Linked DNA regions of Lepisosteus oculatus. The protein of the gene in region 1 purifies or fractionates together with the protein of each later gene. This does not show direct contact. Links are inferred from orthologs where the notes say so. Each region holds a gene or a part of one and is shown on either strand. Other genes may lie near its edges.

The links.
Region 2: the proteins of cdk5rap3 (region 1) and pip4p2 purify together in Homo sapiens (affinity purification with mass spectrometry; 3 studies listed by BioGRID and IntAct, counting the BioPlex papers as one, with this or other methods). This does not show direct contact. The link is inferred for Lepisosteus oculatus from reciprocal best matches to the Homo sapiens genes CDK5RAP3 and PIP4P2.

What each region holds. Positions count from the first base shown.
Region 1 is NC_090723.1:8,876,950-8,884,961, reverse strand, and holds the start of cdk5rap3 (CDK5 regulatory subunit-associated protein 3), read right to left. Parts: upstream 3,005-8,012; 5' UTR 2,892-3,004; coding exon 2,886-2,891; intron 2,424-2,885; coding exon 2,378-2,423; intron 1,163-2,377; coding exon 1,031-1,162; intron 527-1,030; coding exon 426-526; intron 1-425. UniProt on the Homo sapiens protein: Substrate adapter of E3 ligase complexes mediating ufmylation, the covalent attachment of the ubiquitin-like modifier UFM1 to substrate proteins, and which is involved in various processes, such as ribosome recycling and reticulophagy (also called ER-phagy).
Region 2 is NC_090705.1:6,916,985-6,923,810, forward strand, and holds the start of pip4p2 (type 2 phosphatidylinositol 4,5-bisphosphate 4-phosphatase), read right to left. Parts: upstream 3,008-6,826; 5' UTR 2,847-3,007; coding exon 2,741-2,846; intron 1-2,740. Other genes in the region: deubiquitinase OTUD6B, read left to right, coding at 4,836-4,905, 5,285-5,436, 5,959-6,057, 6,369-6,681. UniProt on the Homo sapiens protein: Catalyzes the hydrolysis of phosphatidylinositol-4,5-bisphosphate (PtdIns-4,5-P2) to phosphatidylinositol-4-phosphate (PtdIns-4-P).

The sequences.
Region 1 (8,012 bases):
TCTTTTAGAGAAACGCCCTGGGATTTTTAATGACCACAGAGAGTCAGGACCTCGGTTTTATGTCTCATCCGAAGGACGGCGCCTGTTTACAGTATAGTGTCCCCGTCACTATGCTGCGGCATTAGGACCCACATGGACCTCAGGGTGAGCACCTCCTGCTGGCCCCATTAACACCTCTTCCAGCAGCAACCTTAGTTTTTCCCAGGAGGTCTCCCATCCCGGTACTGACCAGGCTCACACCTGCTTAGCTTCAGTGGGCTGCCAGCTGGGAGTTGCAGAGTGATATGGCTGCTGGCCATATCACCAGAAAAGAATTTGCCCGGCATCCACCCAGAGCATGTGTCTACTGTTAGCCAACGGAAAGCAGGGAAATCCTGCACCGTGTTACAAAAGCCCATTCCACCAGGACGAGCTCTTTTCCTCACCTTCATCCTCTGAGACGAGTATCTCCCAAATATGTTCTTTGAAGATGCCTCTGTGTCCTTCAGGATCTCCACTATTCTCTGGCAGTGGAAATAGTGGATGTCTGGAACCAGACGGAGAAAAGACATTGTGGGTGACTCTCTGGCCAAGTAACGGTTCTGTGACCCGGCACAGTGGTTTGGGCACGCGCCAGCTGTGGAAACTAGAGACACAAAGTCTCTCCATCGCAGGGAGGTTCCCACAGCACTGTGACCCCCGAGACGTTCCAGGAACGCAGGGGTGGGGTCAGAGCGTGTGTACACTGCCTCAATCCCCACATGAGCGGCTGCCAGGTGAGAGCAGAGCCACACAAACTAGGTGGCCACACGAGGAGGAGGAGGAGCTAATAATTAATTAATAATAACCCACACAAGCTATACAGTCAATCAGAATAGTATTTTCCTTTTTCTGCACAGTATTATTCTGTTCTCCAACAGGACAGTACGAAGTGACAGATTTAAATATGCAGGTACTGTACACATAAGCACTCGCTGCTGGCGGAGATACGTGTCAGTTTCCCTTGTTCATGGTGCTCGAGGTCCGGGAGGGCACACGGGCCATCACTCACAGGAGCCGGACAGCAGCTCCCGCAGCTCCTCGCTCTCCGGCATGTCCTGCACGGCGGTGGTTATCTTCTCCCGGATGCTCTGCACTGCGGCCTGCCACTTCAGACTGCAGTGTCGCCGGTCCACCAGCCAGTCTGCCAGGACACACACACACACAGCGGCTGAAGACAGGTCTTGAGCTTATAATAATAATAATAATAATTATTGCTTGCACTTATATAGCGCTTTTCTGGACACTCCACTCAAAGCGCTTTACAGGTAATGGGGATCCCCTCCACCACCCCCAGTGTGCAGCCCCACCTGGATGATGCGACGGCAGCCATAGTGCGCCAGAACGCTCCCCACACATCAGCTCTCAGTGGGGAGGAGAGCAGAGTAATGAAGCCAATTCATAGAGGGGGATTATTAGGAGGACATGATTAGTAAGGGCCAATTGGAAATTTGGCCAGGACACCGGGGTTACACCCCTACTCTTTTCGAGAAGCGCCCTGGGATTTTTAATGACCACAGAGAGTCAGGACCTCGGTTTTACGTCTCATCCGAAGGACGGCGCCTGTTTACAGTATAGTGTCCCCCTCACTATACTGGGGCATTAGGACCCACATGGACCGCAGGGTGAGCGCCCCCTGCTGGCCCCACTAACACCTCTTCTAGCAGCAACCTTAGTTTTTCCCAGGAGTCTCCCATCCAGGTACTGACCAGGCTAAACCCTGCTGGGCTTCAGTGGGCTGCCAGTTGTGAGTTGCAGGGTGATATGGCTGCTGGCTTAGGCCTCGCCCGCCCTCCTCGGACTCTGTCTGCCCTCCCCAAACATCACCGTCCCACCAGGATGAATTTTAAATCAAACATGCTTAAAACCGACCTAAACTGTAGAATAACAATGCACTTAATTAAATAGTAACACTTAATTAAATCCTGTTCTGAGAAAGTTTATGGAGAACTAAACTTGTTCTGGTAAACCTGTATAGTTCTTTCATATCACATGTTATAATTAGAGAGACAGAAATAAAACACCCTTTGCATAGCCCCCTAAACCATTTCAGGCTCATAAATTCCAGTTGTTAAATGTTTTATCCCTATGACCCTATTGCAGATAAAATGGGCAAACAGAGACATTTAAAAACACAATGTCTGTTTCCTTATTACAATCTGTAGAGGGGCCTGATGGTTGTACTGATAAAAGCACTGGCCAGTGGCTAATGTGTCTCCCAAACACTGCTGATGTACACCCTAGTTCTACAGTTTATCTTCTATTTCTGAAAGATATGAACTTGCCCAATCAGAATCCAAGAGAACTCTCACAGTCAACACATCACTAACAAGAGCCTGGACTGTCCCGGAATAATTACCTAGGAGCTTGCTGGTCTGGATGTCAATAGGAAGCTTCTGATAGTCCTGTAAAAAAGATTAAAAACTTACTTTTCGAAGGTAAAACAAGCCTTAAAACACAGTCTGGACATCAGTATCCTTGCGTGTCAGTTATAGTCACACAAGGACCATAACGTCCAGTAACAGACTCTCCTGTGTTAATAAACGATAGCAGATATGTTGAAATCAAGCTCAACAACAGTGTAATGATTACAACTTAACCACATGCAGTTTCATTATTGTAAAAGGCCCGTGCGGATTTGAGTTAACAACTATAATCCCTGACCCAGTAGGTTATTAAAAAAGTGTTGTTCTCAGCTCCTCGTTACATTTTTATCGCTTTCAGTTAAAAAAAACATCAGCTTTAAAGACAATTTCATAACAGATAACTGTATTGCTTAAATTCTTAATGTATACATATGCCTCGCGTATCTATATTATTTAGTTTCTGACGAATTAACAATTACAGATCCCAAACTCTTAAAATACCTCCATTGTACTTTATGTAGCTTCTTTTTTAAATTAAAATCAGCATTTGAACTGGTTATTTCTCTTCAAGCTGACTGACAGACGCCCAGAACAGCCATGTATTTACACCGACATTGACACGTCACCCCATGTGGAACTATAGACCAATCAGAGCGCTGGAGCGACCCTTTCTAACCAATGAGAGAAGATTCCGCCCCTGAACTTCCGTCGAGGAGTAGCCAATCAAATAGCCCATGGTCTTAAAACGGACATGGAAACCAACCAATGATTTTGTAGAATGACCAAAGTGTAGGATCAGTGCTGGTGATGGCTTATAGCTACAGGAGTAATTTCGATATTTATCCAATAGGTGGCAGTGCATTCCATTAAACTCTGTTGTAAATTCAGTATATTGTCCAGGTTTTGTACCACTAGAGGGAACCATCACCGTCGTGGTCAAAAGGATATGAATGAAATAGCAATATCTCGTAAAAAGAAGACACCAGCTGCTGAGACTAGGCTGTTTTTCCTTATTTTTACCTTTTGTTATCACTTTTATTTGAAATTTAATTTTAATTTTATTATTTCTGTAACGCATATGGCCGGCGTTGCAGGTTGCTTTGTTGAAATGATTTTTTATTAAACGTATAAAGAATGTACAAATACAACTACAACCAGAGGATCAGAAACAGGTACAAGAGAAAAAAACACAAACAGAAAAAAACATTTAACCGCCAGAGGTAATGAAGTAGATAATGGGATCAAATTGTATTTTTTTATATATATTTTTTCCTTGCTTTATTATTTCTCATTTTTTAAATAGAATTTAAATAGTTTCAACTCCACCTCAAAAGTACAAAAAAGGGGAGTATTATTAGACCATTTTGATTTATGAATGTGAAACTTACCCAGAATGGCTAATAAATTTACTCTAAATAAATGCTCTTTTTCCGAATTGTACAATATTTGTACAATACAGCAGTACAATAAAATATCAATATTCTTAAATAAAAAAAACACCTTTAACTGCCTGCAAACCCAGTACAGGTTGTGCGAGCCGGCTTCCCAGCGCGGCGACATCACCGCCCTTCTCTGTGAATAGCAGGGACCATAGCTGTCGGGCTGACGGGAGATCGATTCGCCTTTGGCTCAACCGGCTGGGTCCATGGGGAGTGACACCAGAGGCCCGGGTTCGAGTTGGGGGACCGACCTGAAGCGGTAGCAGGTAGGGGCGCATACCCACGTGAACCTGAGAGCGCTACATTTCACTATTATTATGTTATTCAATCGTTTCATGTAAAATAAGCCCCTCGTTAAAAACGAACAGTCAGACAGCTCCTCAGTGTTCACTTGAAGTGTTGTGAACTTTTAGTCGGGTAAATCTGTGTGGTATCTTTCCAAGACCCTAGCAAAGTTCACAGTTAGGAGTGGGGGTGAATCCTCTTTCTTGAGAATGATTGTCACATTAAAAGTGGCAACAAACACGTGTGTTAAACACATTTGACACACTGAATGGCCTCGTCTCTAGTGTTATGTTGGGTAACTGTGGGGCTGGAGCTCTGAGCCGAACTTCTTCCGCAGACAGCCCGCACGGTGTCCTGTGAGCTTTTCCCAGGCTCTATCGACCCACAGCTCATGCTGAGAGCAGCGGTGGGCACAGACACCGTGCAGCAAAACGCTGAGGGCTGAAGGACGTGGCAAGGCAGGGGAGAACTGAGGTGAAGCGCTGAAGAAAACAGAACTAGAGCTCCACAGCACGTGGGAGGAAAGGAAAGCTATATGGAAGTGCATTTAAAACCAAGATGTGCTTTACACAAAGGGTGGTGGGAGTGTGGAACAAGCCACTGGTTCCATACTGTTGAATCCAACAACCTGGGTTCCCAGGAGAAATCCTGGGATCAAGTGAGCTACAAGGAACCCATCGTGCTAGAAGGACAGAACTGCCCCCTGTTGTCTGTGATCTTTCCTATTGTTTTTGTGTTCCGGATCCAGAGGGAACAGGATAAGGAATACTAGGAAGGGCGATAAAAGGTGAGCAATGCAGTAGCACTGGACACAGTGTGAATCAGATTTTGTGCCTGAAAGGGGACGTGATCGGACAAAACAAAAGGCAGATCCTCCCTGTGTCATGTGTAAACACTGCAGCACATAGAACTGAGCCCCACCCAGGGTTTCGAGTGAACCCAGAAAAAGCAGGTGCCTTAACACGGGCGTCCATTTGCTTTGTCTGTGCGTATCACTGTAGCAGGGGTCCGAAACACTGGTCCTCCAGGGTCACGATCAGGCCAGCTTTCCGGGTGTCTGTAGATCACCACTCGCTTCAAACCTGTTGCAGACGGGTTCTATTAGTCCAAAGCAATGGCGTGTAACTGCTCGCATCCTCGCAAAACAACGCGCTGTGTTGTGATCCTGCCGATATCGGACATTGCCTTTGGTCAACTTGGAGTTTCGCTCCCACTCCTTGCAAACAGGCGTGTTGCCTTTCACTTGTTTTGTTTTTTTAGCCCCAGTCTCTGTTGCACAAAAGGAAATATTGGTTTTACAGGTTTTTTATGTGCAGTATTTACAGTACGCCTTATCTCCCGTGTCCGCTCTCCCTGTGAGGACTTTGATTAGACTGCACGGCGGGGAGGTACGGCTCTTTATAAGCGGTGCTCCTCTGGCGCCACTTGCTGTGCAGGCCTCTGCCTCCAGAACGGTATCGCTGTGTAAACTGTGCTGGGCCCAGCCTGGAGGCTCGGAAACGGAAGGGTCCAACTCAAAACACGGGGAAATAAAATGGAAATCGAACCCCCCCACCCCCCAAAAAAAATATTTTTTTCGCAGAGGAAATGTCATTTTTAAAGATGAGTGCTAGTCTGGGAAATCAGTGGCGACCTGCGGTTTCATTCTGTGCCGAAGTAAAGTTATGACATCTAATCTTTACTGTGACATTGATTTTTTTGTTCATTTGAAGTGAAATTACAAAGGGGTCACCAGGGATACTAATATATAAGGTTTCTGCTGCTGCACAATGTGATCATGATAACAGTAACCCCTGCACACAAAGAAGCAGCCCAGTCACCAGGCTTGTGTCATTAACCACTCTTCCAGGCTTAATGTGCTATAACACTGCTGGACAGCACTAGCACTCCCGGAACCAAGGCAATATTTCCATTATCTCATCATCGCTATCCTGTTTAGGGGCTGTTGTCCATTCACCTTTCTTTCAACAGGCCCACCTTAATGGCTTTGAAGTCTTAACGTTGGTGACCACTGCCTGAGAGTACAGCAGCAGTGTACCAGCAGGGATGTGAACCTGCAATCCTCTAGTTACAAGCCCAGAAGCCTTAAGTGTGACCGCACACTGCTGTGCCCTGAACCTGCTCCAATTCCACGTGTGCATTGCTGAGCGGACTGGTCCCATTGTGCTGCTCATCAGGGAGAGCATCCGCTGAGGAAAGGAAAATCAGAACAGTGCTCTGCACCCCCTTTTCTCCATGAAATGATCATTCCCGAAGTGATGCACCCCTCTCCCTCCAAAAGCTGCTCCACCATAGTGAAAAAGCCCAGATCACAGTAAATTACAATAAGGCAAAGCAGAAGCCCCATTACATTTCCTTTCTGGGTCATCTAGAGTCTTTCTTTGCTCAAAATGCTTGCAGTTACAGGCAAGGCAGCTGCAGGGTGCAGGATCTTCATAAGGGGGCAGATCACTACAGCAGTGTGTGTTAGTGAAGAGGGGGACAAACGGGATTATTTACTTACTCCTGGTCTCTCGGCTCCCCACGGGTTTCAGGCAAAGCACGAGTACCCCCACCCCACGCCTGTGTGGACCGGCACTGCCTGAATCGCGCAGCAGTCCAGCTCTGGTCCAGCAGTCTCAGCTCTGGACTGTTAGGGAGCAGGGAAACCCCTTTTCTAGTCACTTTCTCTGGAGGCCTCCTGGATTTGTTGGAAAAACAGCAGAACAAAAAGGCCGAAGTTGCCAAGGCGTCAATTCCACAGCACAGAATGCGTCATTTTTCTCTCTAAAAACTCTCAGTGCTAAAGATCGTTGACAGGCGACCTGTTCTCTGCCTGTCCCACTGGCTCAAGAGCAGAGTAGGGGGCATTTCCACCAGACACAGCTGTGTGATCAGAGACCCACGGCCACACCTCCGTAATGAATGTGAAGAGCAGAGGGATCCTGGGATATGTGAGATTTTCAGATATTGGCAATATACTCAGCGCTGTCCCAGAGATTAACCAAGAGGGTCTGGAGAAAGCCATGGATAAGCAGGGCTCAGAGTGCAAGGGAAAAGGGTTAAATTAAGTACAATAATTAGTTCAAAGAGATGAAGTATGAATACCGATTAAGATGGGGGAGACATCTTTGGTCTTCAGGCAGAGGAAATTGCAAGTTGTCTCGATCCAGCTGCTGACAATCCTGCAAGATGTCCACAAAAGTCAATGTAAGTCACTCCCTCCAGCCAAGACAATCAGGTGAGGCATCAGAGAGCCTCTGTGGAAATTATGGGATGCCGTCCAGAGCCCACGTCCAAGGTTGGCAAAGACGCAGGGCTGGTGTCAGGACTCCTGACGTGTGTGTGCAAGATCCCTCAGGATGAGAGGAGATTCTGGGCTGTGGTGATAATCCAGCCAGCAGGCTCAGTGGTCTCCTCTCATTCGTGACCTTTCTTACTGTTCTCTTGTTCTGAATTAATAGCTCAACCGGATTAAATTCCCAAAGGGCCTCTGGCCCAAGGACCCTGGAGCACAACACCCCTGGATCAGCCGACTTGTAACCCAGCTCCCATGAAAAGGTCAGATCCATCTGCACGGATTTGCATGTGCAGAGCAGGTCACAAGCACCTCGTATGGCAAATCTCTCCCTGCCTCCCAGGCCCTATCAATTCGATTCAAATTATGGAAATTTCCCTTTTGTGAAAAACCCCAATGCCTGCAGCCCGTCATTAGCAGAGGGAAACGATTTGTCCGCTGTGAAACTGAGAACTTTAGCGGAAGTCATTAGATAGACCTTTAACTTTCTGGAGGCCGTGAGTCAGTTACAAATTGAAAAGGTGCCTGGGAGACAGAGGGTTGCCTTCAGTCTGGGCATTAACATTCCAGGCGCCATTTGTGTCGGATTCCATCGCGGTAAACATCTGTGCGCTGGAAAAGTTATTT
Region 2 (6,826 bases), on another chromosome or scaffold:
TTGAAAGCTGGCATTTTGTCCTACCAACCCGTCGATGTTTTCAGTCTACTGCTGCAGAGGTGAGCCATGGCACATTTCACAAATGAAACATTCTGTGAAAACACAGGTCTTACTGAGTGGCAAGTGTGATACAGATCTGTAAAAGCCCATCTACTCAGTTAAAGAAGACATTATCCTATTCCTTTCATTTACACCAGAGCTAGTCAGAGTCAGTAAGCCTGTATTTATGTTGACCTGTCGGGTCTGTTCAGTTCCCAAGCACCTCACGTTTGGAGCAGCACTGGCACTGTATATTAAAGCTCTGGAGAAGATTCCCCAATTCCCCAAGAACTACCAAAAAAAACAATGACAAATAAAGTAAAAACAGGGGCTTTCAACTGGAAAGAGGATAAGTCTGATATGTTGGTTATTCATTCTTTAACTATGAATGTTACAGCATATTTTTCCAAATTTCACAGTTTTAAAAACATGCGATTCATTCCCCCTGCTTGAGAAAATATACCAAAATTCAATATGAAATATCTTAAACTGTAATTAATAAGGGTACATTTAATAAACAAGAAATAATACAGCAAGCATATTGTCCTTTCTTTAAGATACTATTTATGTGCAATTTTTCATGATGGGAATTTCTATATCAAGCACTGGTTTCCCCTGCAAATACGCATTTAAACGTATTTTTACATTAACATTGAAGCCCAGTTACATGGGATACTCTGTGCCTCCGCTATCAGCTCGATAAAGTGCACCCAGGGAGCACAGCAAAGCATGATCTCTTTCAAAAAAAAACATTTTAAGCATTACCAAAATGTTTGTGCTGTGTTTCTTATCCTCCATTGAATTATATTTTTAAAGTATTATTATTTGGTTTTACAAAAACCCCAACTTACGTTATGAAACAATGATAATCCAAGGAATGTGAGGAACTCACTGGCACAATTCAACAAGCCAAGTGTATAACAGTAACCACATGACTTGAACGCCCCCCACTCTCATCTTGCCTTTACACTCTCTTTTACAGCTGATAGCATTAATCTCGCATTTTTCAGCCCAAAACTGTACATACAGTAAGAGGGGATCCAACTCTAAGCATCTTAAGCACTTATGCACACAATAACAACAGACAATGTGCCTCACAAATTCAGGCTTCATAGGAGTGTGGCTAAACGAAAGCCATTGCTGGAAAGAAAACACATCAAATCTCAATAACAGTTTGCCAGAAGTCACGTGAAAGTCTCAGAGACGAGGTGAAAAAGGAATCGAAGGTCTGGTAAGACTAAAGTTGACCTTACTGCCCTCAACACTAAGCACAGTTTGGTGTAAGCACAACACCACACGTTATCCCTACAGTGAAGCATGGTGGTGCTGGCGTCATGCTAGGAGGATTCTCCCGGGCATCGTGGCCTGGAAGACTTGTGAAGACAGAAGGCAAGATGGATGCAGAGGAAGCCTGGAGGAGAATCTGCTGCAGCCTGCCAGACGCCATGGACTTGGGAGAAGATTCATCTTGCAGAATAACAATGACCCTAAGCCAGACTGGAGTGGTTCAAAGCAAAAAGCCAAAGCTCTGGAGTGGTCCAGTCAAAGCCTTTGAATCTTTAATCGGGAATGTGTGGCAGGAATTGGAAATGGCTGCTCACCAACAGTCCCCATCCATCTCAAGGGGGGGTTTGAGCAGTTTTGCAAAGCACAACGATCACCAACTGCAGTGTCCAGATGGGCAAAGCTGGTAGAGACACTTATCCAAGAAGACTCGGGGTGGTAATTTGTGCCTCTACCAAATATTCACTCAAGGGTCATAAGTACTTACACAATTAGCCCTTTTGTGTTTTATATTAATGACAAATGTAGGACAAACTGTGGAATTTTGTTTCACTTTGACATTACAGAGTGTTTTGTGTTGAACCACTGCAACAAATCCCAATTAAATACAATATGATTCCATGTTGTAACAGAATAAAATGTGAAAGGGTCTAAGAGAAATGAATGGTTTTGACAGCCACTTTGTTGGCACATTTGGGAATTCAATGTTTTCTTAATCCAGCTCATTTACAGCACTGAAGCTACTGGGGTATTCTCGGGATGCTAATGTCAAAACTTCATGAAAGGCAAATATGAAATCATAACCCATCTGTACCCGAAGGAAAAATAAATCATTTCTGAAATTAAATGATACTGCTTCAAGAAAATGAAAGATCTTATTGAACTATCATGGGAAATGAAGGTGAGGCCCTGAATAGGTCTGGGCAAAAGTAAAAGCAGCATTTCTATCCTGCTGTGTCAAAGAACAGCACCGCCAGCACAGGAATCCCAGTGCTGGAGCTGGAAGGCACAACACAATAGAATTGTGCCCTTAGCAAGGATAAAACAGGCCCTCACGGTGTAATGATTACCGATCACTCCGGCACGTCCAGCAACAACATTGATTCTGGTTGATAAACAAATCATGACTGTGCTATTTCTAACGTGAAGGGACACAATTTTCACATTAGACTCCGGCTTTTGTGGCTTTTAAGACATATATACGTCTATAGGCCCCCCCATACAAGGGACTAGAGCTAATTCCATTACTGAGCTCCGCTTCCAGCTCCACCTTTTTTCATGTGAACCGGTCGGGTTATCCGCAGATGCCCTTGCCCGTTACAATTTCTTCGTTTTGTCTCCAAACGCCAACAACTCCGCACCACACACCCCAGTGAAAACACGAACGCCACGGGCGAACGCACGGCGCCGGCTTTACCTCTCGGGCTGGCGTCCTGCAGATACGGCGGCGCTGTAGGTGTGACATTACCGGAGTCTGGCAATGACAGCAAGGGAGACCGCTCATCCACCGTCTCCGAGGCCATGTCTGCAAGCGGTATCGCCTGACAGCCGCAGAGTTACAACAACAGCGCCCGTAGGTTTTCCTCCGCTTCTCTGGAAGCGGACCAATGCGTCATGAACAGCACAGACCCAGCAAGGGCAGCTGTTTGGAGGCGGGGCCAAGGGGCGGGGGGGCGGCCGGGGATAAGCCAGGGAAACGTGGGAATGAGCACGGGAATCCTGCGCTAGTGTAACGCAACGCTCCTGTCCGGGACTTCTCCCAGCCCAATCGCAGTCTTCGCAGATGACTTGGGCTCAGATGATGCGTCGTGTCGTGACGTGATGCAACAGCGCAGAACGGCTTTCTCGGCGGAGCCCGAAGAATTGTGAATAAACAAAAAGGATGGAATTAAAAAACGGGAGTGGTTACAGTTAATTTCTGTTAGAATGTGTATATATATAAAGAATATCTATGTAATATCTACAGTGTACAGGACGCTTATAATAAATCAGCATCGGTCAACAGAGAGCGTTAAACAGGCAGTGGTTGTATATAGTGGGACCTCTGTACAGGACTACTGAAAGACAGGAGACGTTAGTAAAACAGAAAAAAACGGGGTTGTTCATTAAAAAAACGTACCCCTTGACAAGGACCTTAAACTCTCAAGGAAATTAAACTCTCGTGTTTTATATGTACAGTATGTTTGTATAGAATTGCTGCTTCTTGTTCTCTTTCATCTTTAATCTCACCATTACATTGATCACATGTCTTATATCCAGTCCCGCTCTCCATCCCAGCAAAAAAAAGTTTTAGGGGTTTTAATGTATTATTTGGTTATCTGAAGTGTACAGCTGTACGACTTCGATAGCCTTGGAATAAAAGTTCGAATCAGGTTCCGTATTTTATTAAGTTTTTGAGGGGAGGGGAACAGAATGATATAAATACAATTAAAATAAAATAGTAGAATGTTGTTATAAAGACCCTATAGGATCACGTTTAGCCTTAAACATCTGGAAAAGTTGCAACCAGCACATTCCCACCTCCAGCCTCCAGCAGCAGGAAATACGTCACGGACCCCCGTGCAGCGTGGTTGGACCCGGTCTCGTGGTAGTCATATGACGAAGCGCGTTCGGAATCAAGAGCGGCCTGTGTCTTCTCAAACGCAGACGTCACACAGCGAGACAGAACAAAATGCCTTTCCAAGCGGATTCCGCAAAGATACTGTAAATGCAAAACCCAGTTGTCTCCGCGTTCAGCATATGACGATTTTTAGTTTGCAATGTCCCCCCCCCAGTGAGATGTATTAGAAATAGACACGTCCTGCACAAGAGTTTGGTTCCCTTTGCGCATCATTATCTCCATCTGAAATAAAGTTGTCATTTGAAAATACCTTTTAATTCCTCTTTATAAAGTGTATGGTTAAGCAGTAATTGGAGGAATACAGCCTGAGTTCTGAGTTTATTTTATTCGATTTCTATTGCACTGTTATGTATTATTATGTAAAATTAATTTTGTAACTTTAATTTTGTGATTTCTATCCACCCGGTGTGCTCGCAGGAAAGACATTCCATTGCCAGCAACTACTGCTGCACGCTGTGCTGTTGTGTATTTGATAATAAACTTTGAATGATTGGTTGATTGAATTGATTGAGTCTAAGCAAGCAGCCAGAAGAGTTACATGGCGAAATTAGAAATGGTAATTTAGAATAGGGGTTCCTCGGGAACAGAAGAGAGAAACACCCTGGGCTGCACACTTGTCCACTAACCTCGTTTTCCCTTTTAGTCTTGCTTTAAAGACCTGACGATCTCAAGCCACTAGATAACCTGTTGTTGACACTACAGTACCCATAAATCTCTGCGACAGACGCTACGTCACGCACTACCCATTTTTATTGGCTAATGTGTCCCATGTGATTACATCTTTAAGCCAATAGTTTTGCGAGAGGAGAGGTGAAAGTGGAAAGAAGCTAGCAGCATGGTGTTGATTAGCAAACTTGTGATCTGATTATTAATTAAAAACCCAAAAGGAAATATGGAAGAAGTGGAAAAAGCAGAAGAGCTTATTAGTAAGCAGCATCGGAAAGAGAAGAAAGATTTACAAGGTGAATTAGTGAGTTGTTTTGTGCAGAGCTTAATCTGAATATCTTTAAATAGAATCAGTTTTAGCTTTCTTGCATGGTAAGGCTTTGGTTTGTGGTAGGATTCATGTAAGAACTGTAAACCGGGGCTTGCTTATAGCTTCGAAAACATTGTGAGTCATTATATATGAGAATTGTTTTGCCTCAAGAGTAATTTTAATCGTTTTTTTTGTGTTATGAACACTGTCGCCAACACAGTTTTAAAACGTAGACTGTTCCATTACCTTTAATTATAATAAAAGAGTTATGCGATTTAGTGGGCGTTAATTTTGAATTGAATTAATTTGATCGCTTTTTGTTATGACTTCAGTCTTCATGGTAAAGTGTGCCTCTTTTTACACAGCTAAGATCCAGAGTATGAAGAACGCTGTGCCCAAGAATGACAAAAAGAGGAGAAAACAGCTTACTGAAGAAATCGCAAAGCTGGAAGCTGAGCTGACACAAAAACACGAAGAAGAGCTGAAACAGCTGAAGGATACTGTGGCTACAGACACGGTAGGTACATCCCTACAAACGAGTTACTATCGATTCAATTTTTACTTAGGTCGCCTGTAGCTTTCTGTTTTTACACTTTTTTACACACAGTTTTACAGAAAGCTGTCAAAGAGTATAATGTATGAATCAGTGTGTTTGACTTTGCATTACCATGTTATCCTTGTCGTGGATAAATCTGTATGATTCTGTAAAATATCACAAACTTAACATGTAGTCATTTATCTGCAGCATTGTGCATTACTTTTAATTATTTTTTAATTATTGCTTATGTTGTATGTATATTATTGCTGGTTGACTATACCCGTTTAAACACTGTTTTGTGTAGTTTATAGTACCTTATGTTGTTCATTTGTGTCTTGGACTGTAGTATGAAGTGATGCAAAACGTGCACAATGCAGCAAAAAACCAGAATTTCTCTGTGTGTGTGTGAATTTGGTAAGGTTCTGGTTGCATTCGGAATTCCATATGGTCAAGAGTTTATTTCAGTAAATTATTCTGTATTAAATTGTTTGTGTTTTTCAGGAAGACGTGGCTGCTAATGGACTAGAAAACCTGGTCTTAGACAGTGAAGAGCAAAAAGATGTTAAGCAAACTCGAGTTTCCAAAGCCCAGAAGAGAAGGGTGAGAACAGGTGCTTTGTTTCCGAGATGAGGGGTTGTGCCCAACATCAGAAGTATTTCAATTTAAATATGGAAACGTTTGTCATCAGTGTCAAGCAATTTCTGCGAGCACAGGCAAATCCTGTAAAGGACTGGGTATCATAAAGTGTTTTTTTTCTTCATTTGTAAATGTCTACAATTTGTCTAGTTTTGTGGTTTTCCTTCATAAGAGCAGAAGAAGGGTTAGAAACGAGAGAAGTTCTTTGGGGTCATTTCATTAAGGCTGTTGTCTTGGTAGTTAGAAATAGCTGTAATGGCCTTCAATCTCTCCAGGACAAGAAGGCAGCTTTGGAAAAGGAGCGGGAGACCAGAATTGCAGAAGCTGAAATTGAGAACCTCTCAGGATCCCGACACCTGGAGCAGCAGAAGCTTTCCAAGATGCTGGCCGAAAGGCAGCTGCAAATCAAGCACATCCCCTCTGACGGGCACTGCATGTACCGGGCAGTGGAGGACCAGCTGCAGGAGAGAGGCGGCTCCTACAGCCTGGAGCAGCTCCGAGGTCGCACTGCTCAATACATGCGAAGTCACATCGATGACTTCCTGCCTTTCCTAACCAACCCGAACACAGGCGACATATACACACCAGGTAGGGCTGTCCAGGTGGTGACCAGTCAAATCCTGGAAACATCTCTGCCATTTTGTAGACGCAGTTTTAGTTTTTGTATAATATTTTAGATGTTTGACATTTAATGAAAGTGTGAATGTTCAATGGATTGCATGATTTTTACATT